Linked DNA regions of Saccharomyces cerevisiae S288C. Changing the gene in region 3 together with the main gene of any one other region gives a genetic interaction. Each region holds a gene or a part of one and is shown on either strand. Other genes may lie near its edges.

Evidence for each region.
Region 1: mutations in SEC22 (region 3) and COG8 together harm fitness more than expected from each alone (negative genetic interaction), as found in Saccharomyces cerevisiae (5 studies listed by BioGRID).
Region 2: mutations in SEC22 (region 3) and IRE1 together harm fitness more than expected from each alone (negative genetic interaction), as found in Saccharomyces cerevisiae (5 studies listed by BioGRID, with this or other methods).

What each region holds. Positions count from the first base shown.
Region 1 is NC_001145.3:129,202-133,267, forward strand, and holds COG8 (Golgi transport complex subunit COG8), read right to left. Parts: upstream 2,372-4,066; coding exon 548-2,371; downstream 1-547. Other genes in the region: TCB3 (Tcb3p), read right to left, coding at 1-166. UniProt on the Saccharomyces cerevisiae protein: Acts as a component of the peripheral membrane COG complex that is involved in intra-Golgi protein trafficking.
Region 2 is NC_001140.6:257,697-263,562, forward strand, and holds IRE1 (bifunctional endoribonuclease/protein kinase IRE1), read right to left. Parts: upstream 3,896-5,866; coding exon 548-3,895; downstream 1-547. Other genes in the region: YHR078W (uncharacterized protein), read left to right, coding at 1-322; SAE3 (Sae3p), read right to left, coding at 4,496-4,658, 4,745-4,857; LAM4 (Lam4p), read right to left, coding at 5,105-5,866. UniProt on the Saccharomyces cerevisiae protein: Senses unfolded proteins in the lumen of the endoplasmic reticulum via its N-terminal domain which leads to enzyme auto-activation.
Region 3 is NC_001144.5:678,417-681,346, forward strand, and holds SEC22 (SNAP receptor SEC22), read left to right. Parts: upstream 1-1,783; coding exon 1,784-2,428; downstream 2,429-2,930. Other genes in the region: BOP2 (Bop2p), read left to right, coding at 1-1,508; DCS1 (5'-(N(7)-methyl 5'-triphosphoguanosine)-(mRNA) diphosphatase), read left to right, coding at 2,770-2,930. UniProt on the Saccharomyces cerevisiae protein: Nonessential SNARE involved in targeting and fusion of ER-derived transport vesicles with the Golgi complex as well as Golgi-derived retrograde transport vesicles with the ER.

The DNA of each region.
Region 1 (4,066 bases), on a different chromosome or scaffold from region 3:
TAATCAGTTGGTGGTATTGATGGTGACCCGATGGAGCGTGATCAGAACCCCTTTCTTGTTGATTTATGACCTTTTGAGGTAAATTGCCTCCTACTTTCTTCTTCTCCTCCTCATGAAATAGGGTACTATCAGGTGGGGGATGGACTTGAGCTTTGATGCCAGTCATTTTTCTTGACTTTCAATGCGTAGCTCTACTTATTTTCTTTCTAGCAATATTGCGTATGTCAATAAACAAAGCTAGCTAATGATGCTCTTTATATTGTTAAGAAGAAAACTGATTAAATTAAGTAACGCTAAAAAGCAAAGTTGTCTATCAAAGTGAAATGTATCGCAATTGGAAAAGGTAAGTGCAATTCTAAAGGATGTAAGGTACAATTATCCCTTTTTCCCTTTCTGACTGCAGCAGTGTGTTGTAAAGGTATACATACATTCTCGTATTGTTGTTTCTCCCCCTTCTCGCGCTGGCGAAGAAGTGAAAAAAAAAAATAAAAAAATGGAAATTTCGGACGATCGTCATTTTGAAAATACATAGTGAGCCAATATTATACTAGGAGTATATATATTTAGAGGCCAGTTCTGCTCTCTTGTCAATTGCCCGGGCGAGCTGCTCGGTCGTAAACAAGCTAGTGTCATTGATTTTTTTTAGGAAGAGGTGGTGGTAGTTTCGATTCAGGTCGCAAAGACGGAATGAACAGTACACCAACTGCAGGCAAACGGAGTCACTCAGCTTGATGCTATTTAACCCACGAGTGAGGTCTTTTAATACGTATGTTATGCACTTATCAACGAATTGCAACATGACTGCATTTGTAGGTATTTTGTTTTCCCTTTTTGAAGTCCGAATCTTTTTGCTTGGCTCCTCTGGGGTCACTTCAACCTTATTAATTTCTTCTTCTTCTTTTTCTGCCTTGTTATCTATGCTTTTGCTTGGCTCTTCTGGGGTCACCTCAACCTTATTAATTTCTTCTTCCTCTTTTTCTGCCTTGTTATCTTTGGTATTTACTTCTTCCTCTTTTTCTTTTTCAGCCTTGTCTTCTGTTTTGTTTACTGTTTCATTTTCTATCTCATTTTCTGTTTTCCTTTCTGCTCCATCATCTTCGCCTTCCACTTTGCCTTGTACTTCCTCTTGTACATCTTCTATCGATTTATTTTCTGTCACATCTTCTTCATTGTTCGCTACGCTATCTTGTTTTTGATATTCTTCCTTCTTTGTTTCTTTCTCCTTTTCTTCAATTTCTTTCTCTTCGTTAGTCCCATTTATCCTTAGCACAGTACTTTCTAGTTCCTCTGGGAAAGGAATCTCTAAGTCATTTGTATCATACAAGAAGCTTTTCAGAAAGACATTCAAGGACATGTAGACATGTTCCCTGAGGACTTCAATTTTCCTCTTAACCATCATTTCAATTAAAGATTCATTAGAAGACTCAACGTCCAAAGGATATGATGCTATTTCATCGGTAATGAATTTGTATCTCATGGCTAAAAACACACTTAATAATGATTTATTAGTCTTTCCATCAAATGGTGGAATTGAATTCAAGTACTGTAGTATTTTCTTTAGTGAGTTTACTGATACATTAGTAGACAGTAATTTTACCAGCCCGGATAACATGGTAGTACTAATTTCGTTTAAAACTTTTTCGCAAACTTCATCCACAATGGTTGAACCAGGGAATCTTGACCTCAGGGAAGTAGTGTGTGTGTATAGCATGACGGCCTCCTGGTAATGACCTGTTCTGATACATGTGCGGGCCAAAAATGGTAGTTCCATCAAATCCGTAATGCTATCCAAATTTTCTAGTACAGTGACTAATGTGTCAGATCTAATGTCGTCCTTGTCATCTTCTTTAGTTGAAATTCTGTTTCTTAACCTACTTAATGCCTTGTGAAACTCATCCTCCTTCTTCTTTCTTGCCAGATTGTTACTCTCAGTCGTCATGATGCGACCTGTGTCGTTGTCTTCTTTATCGTCTTCCAAAAAGTCATCAATAGAAACGCTTTCATTGTTTATATCGTCATTTGTAACGTTTCGATCGGCTGCCTTATTAATATTAGTATCCAATTCCCATAATTGCTCCAAAGACTTGGCTATATCATCCAATTGAGCCCTATCATCGTTTTCAAGAATATTTCCGATAATCTGAGACGTATTATCTAGTAGTGTTTTCCTTATCTTTCTATCAAGGGCAGATAATTCAGCATCAATTTCTGCTATGTCTTCAGTTATGCTACCAGGAACAGCCCTAGATGAAAAATAACTTTCATAGTCTTTCGTGTTAGATTGTAGGATATCCTGTAGGAAATCAAGACTTAACCGTTTTTGTTCCTCTGTTAAATCATCAGAAATGAGGCTGTTTAGTATCAGCTCCATTTTACTCAATGATTATGTTTATTGTTGAAATATGTTCCCTCAAATGTCCTAACACTTCTATGATTATTTTTTCTGTGCTTCTCTTTTCAGTATGTTACTACGCTATATTTTTAGACATTGAAGCCATGATCGCGAGATCGATCTAATGTACGTATAAAAAGAAAATGGACTTCAAGAGTACAACTAACTAAAGGAAAATCCAACTCTTCCTATAAATTTAGAATTAGCATATTCAAAAAAGAAGAAACAAAGCACTCACGATGGGGGTCGAACCCATAATCTTCTGATTAGAAGTCAGACGCGTTGCCATTACGCCACGCGAGCTAAATTTCTTGAATTGTTGGGTAAACAAATATTACTAATACAAATGTTATTAGAAACCAAAAATGCACTTTTCCGGGGTTAATATATATGATTGAGTGATGGATGAAGAATGAGATAATTGTTTAAATTCTATAGTTGTCAAGCGCTGTGATACCAGATACACAAAATGTACTAGAGGTTCTCCTCGAGAATATGAAAATCCACAATAGAGAACCGATATTTCTGTGTAGGAATATTATTATTTCTTCTTTCATTTTGTATGTTCTCGTTCATTTTCCTAGCACATTATCAACCCTTTCATTTCAATTTCCATTAAAATTGGTGACTGTTTCTCAATATTTATTTGACCGTCTTATACCCAATATGGTAATATACCAGTAATATAAATACTAGTCGTTAGATGATAGTTGCTTCTTATTCCGAAAATGAGTATGGAAGTGTTGCATATGATAGGGCGGCTACAGTGATGGTAAACATAAGATACTTTAGCGGGAAATTAGCAACTGGAAGTTAAATTATCTAGACATAAGTGTGGCGGTCACGCTGAACGCAGGAGATCGGATAGATTGATAAGCTGATCAAGAACATTGATCGGTTTGTTGTTTAAAGAATGGTTTTTGAAAACGTTTGACCAGTTGCTTCTCCCAGACGCTTACCGATATGATGATAAAGATAATATCTTCAATTGAATACCCCGTGGATCAGCACGAATAACAGAAAAAAAGGGTGAAATTCACCGTAAGCATGATACGCACTACGTTCTTCTTACCTTTGCCAACGTGTTGTCTTTGACGTACGTAATTATGGGAGATCGTTGATGATTAGCCCCAGCTCACTTTCTTCTTAATGACTGACCCGCTACTATCAAAATTAAGGTGTCAAATATCATGATGAATGAGGTCTCTAGGCGACTCAATTATACATCTTTTAGAGATTTTTTTACTACTTGCAGATAATTTCTCAAGGGATTAGATTCAAATCTGGCTTGTCAATTACGCCCTTTTCAAGCTCATCAAATTGCGTATGTCATTCATGCTTCCATTAGGAACCATAGAAGCATGGCTGAAATGGCAATATACGGCTTCCCAATTTCAACTCTAAAGTAATGGCGGTCGAATTTAATCTATATTTTACAGTTTTATACGTACTTTAAAAGCAATCAGTAAACACCTCTGGTGCTATTCAAGGGTTTTTTGCCTTTATTTGTTACTGTCAATTGTCTGGCGCTGTGATAAAAAACAAGGCATAAAGCTCCCCCGTCATGAACATTAAGACTCGCTAGACGAGAGAGTGAAATATAATGCATTTCCTGATTTAAATGCGCTACAAACATGGTGTAAATCTGGCCCGGAGTGAGTGCTTGCCAATTTG
Region 2 (5,866 bases), on a different chromosome or scaffold from region 3:
AGAGTACACCAATAACTCTTCCTATAAGGGAAAAAAGAGAAACTATTCTCAGGAACAAAAAGGAATATCTTTGATAAAAAATCTGGTGGTGTCAGAGTTGACTGGCGTCTACGTTTTGGCTACAACGCTAATGGTTAGGTCCCATCTCCCTTTTGAAGTATCACAAAGATTAAAGGAGCTATTGGGTGGAAAGTTTACCGTCCCAAACATTGTCATAGATTCTTGGTTTGATGAAGTCTACGCTTTTGCATGTGTGTTTACCTTTATTTGCATAAGAATTGCAGAACGAAAGCTTTCCACCAAAAAAGTCAGTGTTGAATAACTGGAGTAGTATGTCGATGTTCGATGTTTATGAGATATGTATTTATAAAATTAAATGTCTGTCGGGTAGTTTATGTAGGGATGAGAAAAGTAGTATAGGTTCATGAAGAAGTACAACTTTTTTTCATTTATGCAAGGGCGTAAAAATTATGGATGGTTACTACTAATGATCAAAGTAACATTAATGCAATAATCAACCAAGAAGAAGCAGAGGGGCATGAACATGTTATGAATACAAAAATTCACGTAAAATTTGATCGTCACTTAAATTTTCCTTGACAATCATATAAACACCTATTAATAGGTTTGGAAAACGCTTGGTGAAGTAATCGTAAAATCCATCGGGTACCGGCCCCATTAGTTCTGCTATATCTTCAGGTAAATCCATAAAATGATGATATTTATTCCTAAGTGCTCTTAATAGATCCATTAACTTTGATGAATGGTATTTTCTGTACCTTTCAAGGTTGTCCATGAATGTTTTATCAAACTTGACAGTCCAATCTCCACTGGGTATTACAAAGTCAGAACCGGCGTCAAATTTCATTAACAGGGCACTTGGAGGGTCTCTGTTTTCAATTTCAAGCCTATCACTAACTTTTAAAAGGAACTCCAATTTTTTCGACTTTGGCCAAAACAACGGATGCCTTAGAACTTTCATAGCAGTAGGTCTTTTTAACGGATCGTGATCAATCATTTGGGAGATCAGATCTGTAGCTTCTGCAATTAAGGATCTATCATGTAGACATTTCATTTCATCAAGACTGAATATTCCTCTTATGATATTGCTTTCACGTGAATATTTATCTCCAAATGGATGCTTCCCTTTGGATAGGATATAATAGAATACACATCCCATAGAAAAAATATCAATAGATCTTGTTAGCCTCCTCTTGGTGAACGGATCATAAAAAGAATCAGATGAAACTACTGTATGCCTACTAGAAGAGTGTTCCGTTTCGACTTGGCACTGCAAATTGTTTGATTCTTCAAGCAGCTCTGGGGCCCTCCAACCACTTGTGCCAGAAGGGTTATTCAAATTTGTTCTAAATGAAGACTGACCAGAGTCTAGTTTTTTGCAAAGACCAAAGTCTGATATCAAAATTCGAAGATTTTCTGCTCCTGTTTGCTGATCGGCAGTAAACCTACTCGAAGTAGAAACGAGAATATTTTGAGGCTTTAAATCTCGATGGATAATCTTTAAAGAATGTAAATGTGCTACCCCGGACGCTATTTGTCTCAATAACGAAATTGGATTATACTCTTTCTGTAATTTCAGGTTTTCATCTGATACATTCTTAGACTCCACCAAATCTTGAAGGTTCAAATTGCAGAGCTCTAAAGCAATATACAAAAATCTGTCTGTTGTTTCTGAACAGTAGTATCGTATGACGTTAGGGTGATCATCGCTTTCAGTCAAAAGTTTTATTTCCATTAAAGCTATGTCACAAAAATCAATTAACATTCTCTTTACCGCAACAGGTCTTCCTTGAAAACTTCCCTGAAAAACTACTGTTCCTGATGAACCGTAACCTAAAATTTTTTCGGATACTACCAAATTTTTTAAAGATTGCTCAAAGTTTGGTATATTTGCAATGCGTGATTTTCGGCCCTTTTTGCCTCCTCTCGAACCTCTTTTCCTCTTCTTCTTTTCTGTGGTTAAATCTAGTGATTTTTCATCATCTTCATCAGCATCATCGTTATCTTTTTCAGATTTTAGACTTCCATCGTTCACAGCACCTTCAAAAACAACTTGCTTCCCTGATTTCATATCGAATGGCTTGGTTACATTTTCCGATGAAGAGGGACAATTTAGCGATTTCGACTCAACTATGGGGATTTCCTTTTCAGGCATAAATCCAATTTTGGATAATAATACATATAGTGGCGGCAAAATTTTGAATCTTTGTAGTATTGCACAAAAAATGAGAAATAACAACAGAAATACTCCAGTCTCTATAATTCGATATACTAGACTTCCAAACTTCAGTAGCAAAGAATTTTGGTTCTTTTCATCTAATTCTCTCGATATTTGCTCGTGTATCTTTTTTCTATATGCCTCAAGGTCTTCTGGTGACATGTATTCCTTTAGTGAATTCATCTCGTTATTCTGATGTAAATCGGTTGTATCAACGGACGAATCAATCATCAGAGGTGGATATTTGTGCGTAGTGTCCAAACTATTCGTTTTTTCATAGTTTTCATAAAGGTGATCATATTCATTATTATATATCTGATGAACACCCATGATTGCGTTCTTGAATAAAGTCTCATCTTCAAAAATTGAAGACACCCTCCAACGGTCACTGGAAGCGTATCTTGATATGGGAGCTGATTCGACTAAAGATGGAAAATTCTGACTAGATAATGCAAACCAGGAGAGGTTCGAAGTCTGATCCAAGTAAACTTTGTTACTCGATATACTTTCATGATCACCAGGATTAAAGGGATGCGGTACCAGTATATTTTCATTGGTGCGGAGATCATTAAACACATCGAAAAGCCCAACAATAATTCCGGGGAATGTCGGAGAAACCCATCTAGCAATTCTAAAATCTAAATCGCTTGCTAGCAATGATTTATCACGGAAAGGCGCTATGCACATGCCGTCCTTTGAAAATGTATTCTGAAGCGCTAGGGGAACATCTAAAACATTTTGCTGCCATGTAGAGTAAGTGACATTGTAGCTTGCTCCATCATAAGAGTGAATTCCCAGCTCAAAAATAGTTTTGCCTATTACAATCATATTTTCACATTCCTGAAGTTTTATCTTCTCCTCAGGTGAGCAATCCACACTCTGGCTCCCGAAATACCCGTTTTTTGAACCAGGTCCGAACGCTGATATAATTTCACCATTCAACATGTTTATAGTATACATTATAGTTCTCATCGATCCAGTGTAGACCTTTTCATCTTCAACAATTTTTCCAGAGTCATTAACCACAATATTTGTTTTCAAGTGCAGCGGGGAAGTTGATACAAGTTGTCGTATGGATAAAGGCAGTTTTTGTAACCCTTGATGGGCGTTAAAGTAGTAAATGTTCCCATCACCGAAAGGTTCTATAATCAACGTTTCATATGTTTCTAACCTCGAAGGTTCTTGTATTTCTATCAGAGGTTGAAAATTTTCTGGTTCGATTGACCATATGATATGACCATTTCTTCTATCTACAGCATGAAGTCCACCCTCAACGTCGGCTGCGATTAGTATATCTGATAAACTCAGTTCGTTCAAGGAACGATTCTCCAAATAGGGTACACTTATAGAATTGGCAGCCCTACGTCCTTTTTTGTTAGCACGTCGATTATCAGCAGTATTCAATAAGTTAGGAGTTGGATATGAGCTGAGTTTCATATTTGGTAAACCTTCAGTGGTTCTTGGAGCAGGAATGGGCGAGTTTATATTTTTATCCACACCATAGTTGAAATTGAGCTTTTTAGTGGAGGCAACTTCATCTTCCACTATCTGCCGCCTTGAGGTGCGAGACGACAATGGGATTGAGCATGAAATGATGGATGAAAACACACAAACGAGCAGTGTCAATACTAACATGTTTCTTCGAAGTAGACGCATTTTTCAAAGTGCTAAAATATTAATTCCTCAGATATGCTGTTTTTTTAATGTGTATGAAGGGTGATATGGAGAAAAGTGATAATGGACGTGGGGAAGAGGAAAACGATGCTTTGTGAATGAGAAAAAAAAGTTACTTAGCAGATTACCGATTATTAACAGTGCCAGTTATAGTGTAGATTTAATTGTGTAAAATTAATATTGTTATAGACTTTTCACTGTTAGTTTATGTGAAGTTGGCTCATTGATCTCCTATGATATGTTTTTCGTTTATTTCTTGTTACTATGTGATTAATCTCTTTTTTTAAATTTTATTGTTGGAATAGTCGAAGGTATTGCCCGAAGAGGCTTACGCTCCGTCTTGATTTTCGGCAATAAAATAGCGAAAACCTATTATATAACAGAGGGTAATAAAACCTCAAAACTACAACTATCAATATATTTCACACTACGCAGCTTAATTAGTAACTGTATAATAGCATTTAAGTTCATTACTTCTTTGTAATTTTATCTTTTTTTTTTTTTATATAGTTTTCAGCGCGCAGCAGAGTTTCATTGGAACGCTTCGCACGTTGGAAGAATAGAACTGTCCCTAAAAGCCCATTAGTCCTTCATTGAATAACCGATCTCTTCAAAAACATCCTTAATTTTGCATTGCTTTTCATCAGCAATTATTTGGGCCAACCTTAAACCGGCATCTCTCAATTCGTTGTACTCCTTTAACTCTTTAATGTACGTCGAGGAAATTTTTTTTGGTGTCTCATCACTTTGACAAGTTCTGTTAATAACAGAAACTAAATATTTTTTGTTTGTTATACCGATTTTTGCCGACTGGAAAAAATAGCTACATACTTTTTCTTTTCTTTAGACAATTGCTCAAACATCTTTATCAGGTTGCCATTCATACTTTCGTATTCCTGTATCTGTTTTTGCTTTTTATTTAACTGTGTTTCCAAATAGTTCATACTTGCAAGTTGTCTTCTGTTTATGGCAAGGATAAGACCATTGCTTTTAATTTAAAATTATTCTTATACTCTGTCTTTGCATTTATGAAGCAGAAATAGAATAGCCGCCATTAGGCAGAACAATTCCGTCTGATGTGATAATGCAAAGTGTGCCTGTCATCTAACTTAAAAGGAATCAGGCCAACCGCTACAGGATATGTACTAGATACAATTACTAAATAATACAAACAGAATATATAAAATGCTATTAAGATAGATCATTTGCGTCCCTCTCAATGTTGTCCAACATAGTTTTCATATGATTTAGTTGCATTTCTGTTATTTTGATACTTTCTGATAATTGCTGCAATTTGTGTTCGTCATCGTTTCTCAACATAGCACGACCTCGAGGTGATATTGCACTCCCTCTGTTACTGATCCAATCCCAAATATCGCTTTCCCTTCCTACAATAGGACTCTTATCCCTTGCGTAATTTACATTTTCTCTCTTCTTCTTAGATGATATGGCGTTTTCATATGAGTTATACAGTGTGCCGAAACTGGGCACGTAATTATATTCTTGACCATCAATCAGCAGCCTTCCTGGCTTGATGATTTGAAGATTATTTTTTTCTTGAAACACGTGAAGCCGAGGAGACCAGAAAAGCATAATGGTCAACCCCAAGATCAAGAATAGTTTTTGAGGACTCAGCAATTTGTTCATAAAAATTTCTGAACTAAAATTATTCTGAACGAAATCCAAAATATGAGTTAAAATGTCTTTATTATCATCGCTCTTACGGCTTTCGGAACTTTTCTGTTCAACCTTACTATGGAAAGGCCTATGTTTATCATGACTCTTCATTACTTTCTTCACCGGTTTTTTGCTTTTTGCCCTGCTAATAATGTCTCTTAACTCGGATAGCATGTAATCGACAGAAACCTTCTGACCCTCAACAGATCCTTTCTCAATTGCACCTTTCAAAAATGATTTACTTGTCCAGTTGATTTTTGTTATAACGGTCATATT
Region 3 (2,930 bases):
GTGAGGCCACGCAAGACTCGATTTTACGAGCGGAGTACGGGTTTCTGAAGAGATTGTTGCCATACATTGACATGGACGCACAATATATCAGAGTTGTTGATTTGGAAACCAATGCTGACAAGGCCCAGAATTTAAAAGCAGAAAAACTTATTGTTATATTTGACGAATTCTCAGATTTGAAACTCATAGAAACCTTCTTCCCCTTGGCGAATTCCAATTCAAACATAATCGAGTTCGTATTCTGTGTTCGCAATATAAAGAGTTCGTTTTATTCACCTTTGGAAAAATTACATATTGCGAACATAGTCGCAGATATTGATATTAACACATTGTATCTGGACTTCGTGGATTCAAATATCTATTCGGATCAAAATTTCTTTGGGATTTTTGATCCCGATATTTTTCAGCTGATTAATAAAAACTATAGAAACTTCTTTTCTAAGACTAACGAAAAGGGGAAGAAAAGACCCCCCATTTGCAAGAAAATCTGTTTTCCCTTTGTTGAAACATTGAATTTGGATTATATGGCCCTTGATTCATTCTTTAATTCGATACTGCATAAACTAACAACAAAGATAAAAACATTTGAAAGGAACAATGAGTTTGACGTGGATAAAAATTTAAATTTAAACTCGACAACGACAGTAGCAGCTTTAATTATCAAGTCGATCTTGCAACAATTCTTCAACAATTTTCATATCAGCTTCCCTAATTTGGTTACCTTGAATTTTATTAAGATGTCTACCTACCCAAACAATAATGAGATTACCCAATGTTGTAACTTCATAGATTTATCTTCATATGTTCTAAACAAATGTTTAAGTGAGAATATCTCGATAAATTTCCTCTTTCAGTTGCACTCTTTGAAAAATTGGTCAATGCCCAAGATTAAAGAATTCACTGGGCACAAATTCAAGTATGACGAAACAACATTTTCAGGTTCACCAGAAAGGTACATCAAATCATTGAGGGGAAACATTAAAATTTTGCAAGAAATGGCAATTAACGAAACCAACGATGGTACTTGCTATTTCAGAGTCAAGTTGATACCTGAGGGGGTAGAAAAAACTCAAATAATCAACTGGATCCCCTTTACTTCTTCATTTAGCGATGATACCTTCAAACAAAGACACCATTTAAAGAGGCCAATGATTTGCTTGAAGAACAACTCTTTAAGATCGCTCACTGTCAAAATCATACGTATTGAAAAATGTTCATCCATCCGAATCCAGGGATTTTACCTACCAAATCTGCAGGAACTGTTCATCAACAATACCCTTTGCGACACCACCCAACACCAAAAACAAGCGTCAAATGATATGAGTTGTATAGAGTTCACTTCATGGAATGAACTACCACAATGCAAGAAATTGGGATTTGCTCAATTAGAGGACGACTCTAACTACGTTCTTAATATCAGTAACCTACAAGACCATTTACCAAATCTGGACCTGCGGGAGAGTTTCCCAACTTTCTTCGATATAAGACAGAAGTTTGTCGTGGTTTGAGGTCTAATTTTCAACCAAACGTGTTGTACTAGCATATATAATTAAATAAATTTCTCTAGTTATCACTTGATTTATCTAATAAGAGACGTCATAAACGAATTTTTTTTTAGCAATAAATCCTCAACGCTTTTTGTTTTCATTTTTCGGTCTTTTTCTACCATAGAAGATAAACAAGTAGAGCCCATGTAATATAATATATCTACAACCTATTATTACCCAAAACCAACAAAAACCCTGACAGTGACACCCCGTTACACACTCACAATTAAGTAGGGATGATAAAGTCAACACTAATCTACAGAGAAGATGGGCTGCCTCTTTGTACGTCTGTGGACAACGAAAATGATCCCTCATTATTTGAACAAAAGCAAAAGGTGAAAATCGTCGTTTCCAGATTGACACCACAGTCTGCCACGGAGGCTACTTTGGAAAGTGGCTCCTTTGAGATCCATTATTTGAAGAAATCCATGGTGTACTACTTCGTCATTTGCGAATCTGGATACCCAAGAAACTTAGCATTCTCATACCTTAACGATATAGCGCAAGAATTTGAACACTCATTTGCTAATGAGTACCCCAAGCCTACCGTAAGACCATACCAGTTTGTAAACTTTGATAACTTTCTACAGATGACAAAAAAGTCATACAGTGATAAGAAAGTTCAGGACAATTTGGACCAACTAAACCAAGAGCTTGTAGGTGTCAAGCAAATCATGTCCAAGAACATCGAAGACCTACTTTACAGGGGAGATTCTCTCGATAAAATGAGTGACATGAGTTCTTCTTTGAAAGAAACATCCAAAAGGTACAGAAAGTCCGCGCAAAAGATCAACTTCGATCTCTTGATCAGTCAATATGCTCCTATTGTCATTGTCGCTTTCTTTTTCGTCTTTCTCTTCTGGTGGATCTTCCTCAAATAGACGTCACCCCATCATCCCACATCACAAATCCCGATCAATTTGGTCCAAGTGTATAACATAGTCTAGTTCAGTATTAGTATAGTATGGCAATTTATTTGACATAATTACGTATTTTTCAGGCAAGCTGGCAGGTGACCCGCCGCACCTGCACTTTTTAGGGAGTCTTTTCAAGGATATCATCACTATATATCGAAGGAAAAGAGGCTTTCCAACTCTTTTGGATGATCGAATTGCCATCACTACTCTATTAACTGTCTGTGTATTAACTAAATAATCACATAGTATTAAGTTATAATTCCTGGAAAAAAAAAGAAAGCGAAACGACAAAATTAGCATATACCATGTCTCAACTGCCAACAGATTTTGCTTCATTGATCAAGAGATTCCAATTTGTTAGTGTCCTCGATTCCAACCCTCAAACCAAAGTTATGTCCTTATTGGGAACCATTGACAACAAGGATGCTATTATCACGGCTGAAAAGACGCACTTTCTATTTGACGA